Linked DNA regions of Nothobranchius furzeri. The protein of the gene in region 2 purifies or fractionates together with the protein of the main gene of each other region. This does not show direct contact. Links are inferred from orthologs where the notes say so. Each region holds a gene or a part of one and is shown on either strand. Other genes may lie near its edges.

Region 1 (5,687 bases), on a different chromosome or scaffold from region 2:
ATTAATTTTAGTTCTTACAAAAAATGGGTCCCAACATGGTTTGTGTGGCGTTGCCATAGTGTGACGTCATAGGCACAGATCCCCTGTCCTCTTGTTTGGAAATGGAAATATGGTCACCCTACATTAAACAAACTGTCCACCCGGGCTTTTACACTGCACAGAGACGCTTCGCTGCCTATGAATCTGAACGTCAGTTGAGAGTCAGTCTCATGCAGACTGACCAATGAAGAGAGGGCCTCAAGTTAAGACCCTCTCCTCATTGGTCAGTCCACACGGGGTGGGCCAAAGGTTACCCTGAGCGGGTTACGTGATGTCAGGCATTCAAGTATTGAGTATATTTACTGCATATTACAGTAAAATATTCTGTATGTGACCACATTATGGTGATCCTTGGGTCGTGATGATGGGGCCCTTGAATATTGTTGCCCAGGACACAACAAAGTGTTAATCTGGCCCTGCTGTTGGGAAAGAGAGACAACAATTTGCCTGAAGACGGATGTTTAAGATGTCCCTCCCCAGAGTGCATAGCCTCACCCAAGATGCCGATGAAGACATTTACCGCTTTCATATTAAATAAGGTGAAGGGGGATCAGCTTTAGCGTTTCATCCTTTGACAAAATTCCTAAAAAAAGGTTGGATCTTATGAAATTTTATGAAAACTGCTATGTCTCAGTGGTCTCCATTAGTGACATCATTGAGAAATGGTTTTGAGTATTAAAATCAATTAACCTAGGAGCTATTGAAAGAAATCACTTAATTTTTGATTAAAAAAACTAATAAAAATGATCAGATCTTGTGAAATGATAAAAACTGCTGTGTCTCAGTGGTCTCCATTAGTGACATCATTGAGAAATGGTTTTGGGTCCGTCCGTGTCTGGTCGGAATTACAAAGCATTCAAAAACAATAGCAATAAAGTTTTAAGCGTGACATTAAAAGCAGACACTTTGATGCTCCACCTGAGAGTAAATCTGTAAGGCCTGTCACCAGCATTCAAACATCAATTCTGTTTGCTTCACAGCCAGACAGGACACGGTAAAAAAAAAAAAAAAAAAAAAAAAAAAAAGGTTTTGGGTTTATTTACTGATTGAAAAAAATCCCTTAATTTTAGATTAATGTCCTAATAAAAAAGATCAGATTGCATGAAAGTTGTTATAAACTGCTGTGTCGCATTGGTCTGGCTTAGTAACACAATTAAGAAATGGTTTTGTGTATTTTGACTGATTTAGCTAGAATCAATTGAAAAAAATAATCCCCTTAATTTTGGAATAATATAATAAAACGTTCAGATTGTATGAAATGTGTTATAAACTGTGGTGTCTCATTAGTGTGGCTTAGTAACACAATTGAGAAATGGTTTTGTGGATTTAGACTGATTTAACTATGATCTATTGAAAAAAGTCCCTTAATTTTGGAATAAAATCCTAATAAAAAAGATCAGATTGTGTGAAATGTGTTAAAACTGTTTTGTCTTGTAAATGTAGCTTAGTAACACAAGTCATAAGTAATTTTGAGTCATTTAGGAAATTATTCTGGAAGTTTTTGATATTTTTTGTACTCGTTTACAAAGGACTACAAATTTGTTGATAGTCCCTAAGCGAACCACCGTTCACTATAGCGAGTCCTCGGAACTCAGCTAACCGCTGTCTGTGCCGCAGTGCACGGCATGAAGACTTATCGCTGACCGTGTAAACCAATGTCTGTCGAACATCCAACGTCCAACTTCAAGCTAACTTCACCGCGATCGTTGCACATGTGTACAAACGAAATTGACTTTGCGCTCACTAATGCAGGTTCACGTAAAAGGTAGAAAAATTAAATAACAATGAGGCTAAAACACACGCGCGCGCACACGCACGCAGGCGCGCACACACTCGCCCGTTCTACGGTGCAAAAACATAAAAGTATAATACGCGTGCGTGTGTGTGACATGGTTTTGGTCGTCTGTATCATCTCCGGTTCATGCGTCTAGGTGCGCTTTAGCCGACAGAGGGTGCGCGTGTCCCACGACCGTGTTGAGGTGGGAGAGGATCCGATCCGGCTGCTGCCGCCGAGCTCTCCGCTCTTGCTGCTGCTGAGAGGTACCGGAGAAACATGAGCTCCAGGAAAGGTGCGTATCTACACATCACACTTAACCCTACTTAATTGTAAGGTGGAGGCTGGCGGGTTTACGTCTGTCGAGCATCTGGCAGACGACGCTGCTTGACCCTGTTTGTTCCAGCCAGCTTTAAATCTGATGTGGTGATGTGTGTCTGATTTCTCTCCCCGACCCCCTAAACCCTTTCTCCGGACCTCTACTGCAAATGAACTTGGATCATCAGTGATGGCCATTCAGGCCCGGAAGAGGAGGCCAAAGGGGAAGAAGGACAGAGCGGGTCACCATCGGAGGTAAGTGGGGCGGCGGCGGCCGGGATATTGAACCGCTTTTAGTGATATAGTTTGTTGACAACGGCTTTCCCTGTCTGTGTGGCGCCGGTGCCGTCTCACAACAGATGAATGGTTTGGTATGGAGCGTGCACTCTCACCGAAACCGGCTCCTGCTGCCCTGTGGATTTCACCAAGTTATAGTTTGGTCTTCTGGGATCCTCACTTGGTTTATGGTTGCTCATGGCTTCTCATTGATTTTTGGGTTGGGACGTGTTAGAGGTCGTGATGTGACAACTCATTTCCGTGGTCCATTTAGTGAAAAGTCCCCCAAACGTCTGTCAGTGATTCTCTGGTTATGTAACTTTCGTCCAGGCGGTCAGAGCATGGTCTCCCCGGCTCACCTGGGGTATTTCAGCGTGACTTCCCCGGCGTGAGCGGCTTCATGGGACGTGAATGTGTGCAGTAGTGCAGCACCGTATATGCAGACTGGGGGCTTTCTTCATGGCACGATCCTATTGGTGGAACGTCACTGGCTGCACAATGAAAGCATCGATTAGGTGATGCCAACCGACTAGACACCCCACACAGAGCCACAGGAATTTACTGGAAAGCACAGTCGAACATGCAAGAGGTGTGCAAAAGAACAATTATAAAACATCTAAACATCACAAGATACCGTTTGGGGTCATTTGGTTTCCTTATATGCATGCTTATGACGTGAAGAAATATACTTCACACTAAATGAGATCACATCATAAAAATATATATTGTGTAGATTTAGAATTTTTTTTGCAGCAATACAAATTATTGTAAAAGATTAACAAGACGCAGCTAATAGCTCGTGTCTTTCATGCACAATAACACACGTGCACTGTGCACCAAAAAGACTAATTGGATTAAAAGGAAAACAGCGAAATCATGAGTCTGAAATATTTGGTCAGTTTAACCTGAACCCTCCAGCATACTTGCCTTTTTGTTAGGGATGCACCGATACCGATACCAGTATCGGTAAAAGTTAACCGATACCAGGAACCGATACTAATGCACATGGACGTCACTAGGATTGAGATATAGGGGGGGCTTAGCCCCAGGAGCTTGACCTTGAACATTTTTTTCACACCCTGCAAAACTTTGTCAATTAATTCATTATCTGAAGAACATTTAACAGAACCTATTATTTTATCACTTTCTTTTCCTTTCCTACCTTTGTGCATTTTCTCTCTTCTTTTTATAAAAAAATAACAACACTTAATCAGTTCATTAGTGGGGTCTATGTTGAAGAAAGATTTTTTATAAGTCCATTAAAAATTAGATATGTTATATTTCCAAATAAAGCTATTCATTTCAGTCTACGGCACTTAACAGGGGGAAATGTTGCAGTCATTTGTTTAATTTGTTTAATTACAACTTGCTTGATTATAAATGTTACTGAAATATGACAAAGAACAAATGAATAATTGTCAAACTTTTATTCTGCCAAATGAGTGTGCAGTTGACAGTTTTAATATATGAATAACACTGATATGACATGGAATAAAGGAGTATGTAATTAACAATGACAAGACAAAATAACAGTATATATAAAAATTAGGGCTGGGACTTGATTTAAATTTTTGATCTAATTAATTAGAGGCTTTGTAATTAATTAATTAATCTAAATTAATCGCATTTTAATTGTTCAGGAAAATGTGCTCTCAAAGCAAAACTTAATTAAAATTATGAGACAGAGAATTAAACATTAGACATAGTTATTACTGTAAAACTAAAGCTTTTAATAAAAAATGCATTTTAATTAATCAAATGTCACTGTGTGATATGAAACAAGACCCAAATCAACTAAAATTTATAATTACAAAGAGAAAATGCCTGCAAAGGGTGCCTTTAAATAGTCTCTCTGTCTAGTTGAATGACTGAAATAAATTTGACTTTGCGCAAGATTCAAATTTTTCCAGTTTTACTTGTATGTATAATTGGGAGTTTTTATTAGCATTTCTACTCAAAATGTAGTAAAAACACGTAAATAATAATCCTTCAAAATGACAGTGGAACAGGCAGAAATATGATCTAGGACTTAAATGTACTAACTTTTAACACCAGAGCAGGCATGGCATATTCTGAGAATGATCAGGAACACTAACTGGTTCCAGTTGGATGACTGGAGGATGATCGGAAGAAAAAAGATCATGGCGAGGAAATAATGATCTGACGAACAGGTGAGCGGACCTACATGGGAAGTCCTGATGTCACGTTAAGAAGGGGATGCTGCAGACCCGCAGATTCACGCCTGCTGCAGCGAATCTGGTGTGATCTCCAGCCTGATCACAACTTCCTTGTTCCTCGCTGCCCCTGATGCACTTGAGCATCCGCCCCTTAGCTGATGACAGCTTCAACACACCTCGCTGCTTAATGATAGTAATGCATGTGATGTTTAGACAGAGACTCGTCTCAGAAACATATAATTCCCCGACAGAATTGTTTAGAAAATCATCAGAAAAGTTTCAGAGTGTTTCTGTTTTAACTTAAACTTCTGTTTTCAACTTTAACTTTCACGTTGTCTGTGATTGTTTACAGAGTAGTGAGAACACGGAGCGTTCTCCCAGCGGCAGCCAGGTGCCTCTCGTTTGTCTTACTATCATAAACTACTGTTAGGGCACAGAATTAGTCTGTCTGGTGCTTTCAGCGCTGCACAGATGTTACGTAAATGTTAAAAATATAGCTTACCGCAACTTTTGTAAAGTTTCCGGTGCCACCGGGCAGCTGCAGCAGAGACGATCTCTGAAAAATGTCCGCGACACGGACTCCGTTGTTGTCTGGAAGTTTGTTTTTTTCAAGTTAAGAAAAGAGGCGGACGTGTTTCCTAAATCCTGCATCAGTCCAAGCAAGGCTACTTCTTTCCATTTTTATTCCGTTAGTAGCCATTAGCACTGTGCATTGTTGTGTGCGTCAGTGATATTCTGTCTACGAGGAAGTCGTGCAATGACAAAGGTTCTGCCGTGCTTGAAATGCAAGCTGCGATTAAATGCGTGAAATTTTTTTAACGTGTCCGCGTTAAAGTCCCAGCCCTAAAAAAACTCAAAATGATAGGGGGGCTTGTGATTATTTTAGGGGGGCTGAAGCTGCAAATCAACTATCCTGATTAACAAGGTTATAAAAGCTCATAAAGGAAAAATCACTTTAGCCCCATTCCCATCTGTACCGGGTCGGCCCGGGCCGGGTAGTGTAGGTTGTTTACATATCTGGGTGGCCTGGTATTTTTCCGGGCCAACCAAGGCTCATTCTTGGCCCTCTTCCCGAGGGGTACTGCTTCAGGCCGACCAGGGCC
Region 2 (5,246 bases):
CTTGTTCAGGGACCATAAACACACTTCGTATTAATTCAGACAGAGTCAGTATATAGTTCATAAAATGAGTTTCATTCTTTTTCCTAAACTAATGATAGATGACAAGATATGAATAAGGAGATGTGGTGTGGTGGATTTGAGGTGTTGTGATGGAAGCTAGATGTTGTAGCAACCGTTCTTTGTATCTGAGAGAAATTGTTAAATCTCGGTGTAAAAGAATTTGTTGTTTGTTATAAACTAGAGAATTGTTTATTTATAAACCTCATCGGACACCAGTATGCAGGCTTACGATACCCTTGTATGAGTTGCTCCTGGTGGTCCAGAGGGGTGTGGTTGAGTGGTGAGGTCACCGGACGTCGAAACCAAAAGACTCCGAGATTAGTAGCTTCCTCTGAGCTCAGCTTCCCCAGCCATGAGATGCAACCCGGGGTCTGCAGATTAGGTGTCCAAGGTGGATGTCTGAGTTCAAGTAGCTCTGAAAAGAGCTGTTGTGTCTTTAATCACTTGCAGCGTTGCAGAAAGGTTTTGACTTAAGGCCAAACACATTTGTTTCAGAAGAGGCTTCTTTCCCGATTTGGCCGAATCGGGGGGTCAGCTGGAATCTGAATTACTCGGGAAGTAATTCTCGTTTTAATAAACTCATTATTTATAATTTCTGGCGTATTCTGGCAAATCAGAATGTGCCATGACTGGAAGGCTTTACCAAGACATCCCTGAGAAAGCCACGCCTTCTTGTTCATTCATCACATATGATTATTTAACTTATAACTGTAAAATCATGGAGTCTTCACTCATTCAGAGTGAAGAATGTTGATGTCTGGCGTTCACACAGAGAGCGTAAGAACCTTGGGTGAGAATGTTTGAATGTTTTGTCTTGATGGAATGTCAACACACACTAAGCAGAACCTTCTGGTTCTGGAAGGCCAAATAGAAATTGGATTTATTTCTGTAGATGAAAGGTTATTATGTTGATCAATGTCTAGGTGAAAATTGGCCCTTTTGGTACGTTACAGTGAGGATCCCACTTGGACGTGTCTTTAAAACCATAAGATGAAGCGCTAAAAGCCTTTCTTGTAAAGAAATTTGTTTGTGCCATCACCAGACTCCATCTTTGACTACAGCTAAAAAACTACAGTATAGCGCGATGCAGTTGTCATTTCCGCCTTTTTACTGATTGGTTATTTTTGAGCTGGCTAGTCCCGCCCCTCACTGGGCGCTCAGTATCCAGACTCATCCTCTGTGTAGAACAGACAGGGGACAAGCCTGGCAGGCTGGGCTAATATCACCCAGCCCCAGCTAGGAGATAACTTTTGCTTCTGGTTTTACTAAACGGACACTAGGGGGTGCTAAAAGCAAGCCAGAACTGCCAGGTCTTTTGTTCAACTCAAGCCGTTCCCACTGAAGGAGTTCTAGGACATTTCTGGGAGGGAGAAAAGTGGCCAAGAGATGTGATGGCTCGGTACTTTCAGCTGTCGTCTCCGAGTAAGCCACAGAAATCTCGCCGGCCCCAGCACCACAAGACATCCACGAACATTAATACCATTAAAGAGCCTTCGCCGAGAAACCATTGTTTATTTATTATTTTTGAAAATGATCGGTCTCTCTGAGTTTGGACTCACCCATCTTGACTCACGATGGGGAAGGCCATTGTTGGTTTAGCATCCAGGAAACAGCAGAGAATGCCTCGACTAGTAGAAGCTAACCGTTAGCATTAGCAATGCCACCACACAGCAGTATTCCACCAGGCTTGTGATATTTGTGCATATAAGCATCCACGTTGCAAATCAGTGGTGGAGTTGCGTTGCTGTTATACAGTCCGAGGCGAGATGTCCAAATATCAGGAAATAAGACTCAGATCCTGCCGTCTGACGTTACTTTCTCCCCTGGCTGAATTCTCCACGCAGAAACTGTCGCACCTGAGCTCTTACAAGACATTCATTCCTGCTAGAGGCCACCGCAAATTCAGCAGTCTTTTTCTGTCAACGTGCGTCATAATTTCATCCGGTCGGAGGATGGAAGAGTGGCTGCGTGACGTTAAAAGCGTTCAGTGACCAGAAGAAGCGCCGTTTTCTGTTGTTAATTAAATTTTTCTGGGGGGTTTCTGCTGTTTTTTTTTTTTAAGTCCCATTTAGTCGTCACACACACAGGTGTGTGGTGAAATTTATTCTCCGCATTTGACCCATCCCCTGGGGGAGCGGTGAGCTGCAGACAAGCCGCGCTCGGGAACTATTTGGTGGTTTAACCCCCCAATCCAACCCCTTAATGCTGCGTGTCAAGCAGGGAGGCATTGGGTCCCATTTTTTTCAAAGTCTTTGGTATGACCCGACCAGGAATCGAACCCCTGATCTCCCGATCTCAGGGCAGACACTCTACCACTAGGCCACTGAGGCCACGGCGATTTAAAAGCAGAGTGAATATTGTTTATTTACGTTACATTCTTCTTCACCAGCAGTTCCGAATTTGCAAAAATTGTTTGGCGACATCTGCTGAGGCCATTTCCTACTGAGTTGCAACCAATCAGCATGAGTTACCCAGCTCAGCGGCCTAGTGGTAGAGTGTCCGCCCTGAGACTGGGAGATCAGGGTTCGATTCCTGGTCGGGTCATACTAAAGACTTAGAAAAAATGGGACCCAATGCCTCCCTGCAGGACACTCAGCATTAAGGGTTGGATTGGGGGGTTAAACCACCAAATGGTTCCCAAGTGCAGCTGTGTCTGCAGCTCACCGCTCCCCCCGGGGGGGTCAAATGTGAAGAACAAATTTCGCACACACATCTGTGTGTGTGACAACTGACTGGACTTCAACTTCAACTTTAACTACAAGCTCTACAAGAGTAGCGGGCCTTTTTGAGTACTTGCACCATTTCGGGTTGGCCAGACCGATAAATCTGACCCCTAATTCAGAGGATCACTGTAGTCGCTGTAACTCACAACGAAGTTATTGTAGATTTAATTTTTTTTTCCTCTTTGTCACAAAGGTTCAGGTGGAGAAGATCAAGAACCCAGAGGACCATATAGGGGCGGTGCTGGAGCGAGCCAAGCCCGAGTACATTCAGAAGACCTACCGTGTCCCTGCATGGACATCTGCTCAAGACTTCCTGGAGAAGCTGGCGTTTCGCACGGGCAAACTTCTCAAGGTCGCCCATTGGTTTTTTCATTTTCTGTGTCTCGTTGTGCAAGATTTCAGTTTGGTTTAGTGCTGAATCTGTTTTAATGCAGTGTGTGTGTTTGTTATTTATGTGTGCAGCATGCATTTATTAACAGAAACATTGTTTTGTTTGTGTCATGCAGAGGGGTGAGCCTGATCTCAGCACGGTCTCCAAAATGGTGTTAAATGACTGGCAGAGGGGACGAATTCCCTTTTTTGTGAAGCCGCCGGGTCCTGAGGGAGAAGAAGAAGTAAGAGTTAACGGAGTTAAAACTTTAATGTGTATTTGGTCTCATCAGCAGCCTGTTGCTTTTATTTGATTCTTTTGTATCGGACTTCTTTAGGATGGAAAACCGTTGCCAGTTGAAGCACCTACTGCTGTAGTGGAGAAGGTGCAGGAAGAGCAGCCAGAAAATCTGGACACCGTCTCTGAGGAACAGTCAGAACAGCAGCAGAGACAGAAAGAGCAGGTCCAGAAGATCCTCGCTAACGTCCGACAAAACTTTGGCAAGATCAACGTAGCTCCGGAGTTCAGCGAGGAAGACCTGATTCCAGTGGACATGCCTGACCTGGACGTGTCCGACTTCTCTGGCTCTGATGCTGACGAAGGTGATGGAGAGGAAGATGAAGCCATCGCAAAGCCAGCTGATGAAGAGGAGGGGGTCTCTGAGGCTGTGACTTCTCAGACTGATAGAGCACAAGTCAAAAAGAGTTCACGAGAGGTCATACGGGAGCTTGATGAGAAAATCGCCAAGTATAAGCAGTTCCTGGACCAAGCTAAATCCAAGCGCTTCTCTGCAATTCGGTGAGTTCTTATGTTATCCTACGTGTCAGTCTGCACACCACCCCTCTTTAGTTGATCTGGCAGTAAGATGGCAGGCGGTGCAAAGGAGGTGATCTGTGCACACCGATTCAGGAGTGGCGTTTTAGCTCGTCAGAGGTCAGTTTCTAACACGCATGTCTTGTCCAGCAGACGACAGCTTTTAAATTTGCTTAACCGAGCCTTTCCACTGGACGCGTCGGTGAAGCGTAGTCTGCAGGAGTCAGCCGCTTCAAAGGTGGATGGGTGTTTTTTCTACCAGCTGTGAAGCGGCGCGTTTTGGAGTCTACATTTTACTTGCTAATGTGTCCATTCAAACACAAGAGCAGTGTCAAACATCCAGAAACTTGGAAAAATAAAAGATTTCCAGCTGCTTAACTTGTTAAAAAAATTCGTCTGTCATCACCCGTGAGACCGTTGTAGCCAAAGTCCCACGGACCTTTTTGGATACGTTTAAATCTGCGTGTCATCTCGTAAGCTACAGAAATCACGCAAAGTTTTTTCAATTCTTTGGTGATTTTGTGATCTTGCGAGACTGTCTTGAAACCAGGGTATCCGCGGGTCCTTAAAAGTCTTAAATTAGCTTTTCCAAATTTAAGGCCTTAAAAATCCTTAAAAATGACAAATAATCCTTAAATACAGTTTCCAAAGGTCTTAAATTAACAAAGACCCAATAAACAAGATTCTTTTATTTCTATAAAATTTTCATGAATTTCTAGTTAGTGCAGGATTTTTTGTGTGTGATGTTGGTGTAAGCGGAACCGTACACATTCAGCTGGTTGTGAAAGGGGGCTATGTTTAGATGAGCACATTAGCTGGTTAAGCTAGTGGGAGCTTGAGCCATGGGGAAGGTTAATGGTAACTGGATGGTTGATCCCACGTTCGCGACGTGGTTAGCACCGGTTCCAGGCAATAGCTGGAAATTATAGCTTAAATTTAATTTTAAAAATAGCTTAAATTTGGTCAAAGTGGCCTTAAAAAGGGTCTTAAAATGTCTTAAATTTGGCTCCCCTAAACCTGCAGATACCCTGTGAATGCCACCTGTGGGTAGGGACGTGTCACTGCGCTTGTGGGTAAAACGCTCCAATTACCATACCTGCAAACTTGTCGCTTTTCAGCAAAAATCGCCGTTTTAGAAGCCAAATGTAGCGTTGACGTGAATCGTGTAGATCCAGAGTTTTTTTCTTTCTTTAAGGGGGGAGGGGGTCTTATGTTTGGTTTCAGTCACTCTTTTGGAAATCAATCAGAGAAAGGAGAGGGGATTCCTGTTCACATACAAT

The links. Proteins that work in one complex are often made in the same cells at the same time.
Region 1: the proteins of gnl2 (region 2) and srpk2 purify together in Homo sapiens (affinity purification with mass spectrometry; 3 studies listed by BioGRID and IntAct, with this or other methods). This does not show direct contact. The link is inferred for Nothobranchius furzeri from reciprocal best matches to the Homo sapiens genes GNL2 and SRPK2.

Annotation. Positions count from the first base shown.
Region 1 is NC_091744.1:58,372,057-58,377,743, reverse strand, and holds the start of srpk2 (SRSF protein kinase 2), read left to right. Parts: upstream 1-1,969; 5' UTR 1,970-2,092; coding exon 2,093-2,108; intron 2,109-2,319; coding exon 2,320-2,386; intron 2,387-5,687. UniProt on the Homo sapiens protein: Serine/arginine-rich protein-specific kinase which specifically phosphorylates its substrates at serine residues located in regions rich in arginine/serine dipeptides, known as RS domains and is involved in the phosphorylation of SR splicing factors and the regulation of splicing.
Region 2 is NC_091745.1:70,697,513-70,702,758, forward strand, and holds part of gnl2 (nucleolar GTP-binding protein 2), read left to right. Parts: intron 1-2,976; coding exon 2,977-3,135; intron 3,136-3,289; coding exon 3,290-3,397; intron 3,398-3,490; coding exon 3,491-3,951; intron 3,952-5,246. UniProt on the Homo sapiens protein: GTPase that associates with pre-60S ribosomal subunits in the nucleolus and is required for their nuclear export and maturation.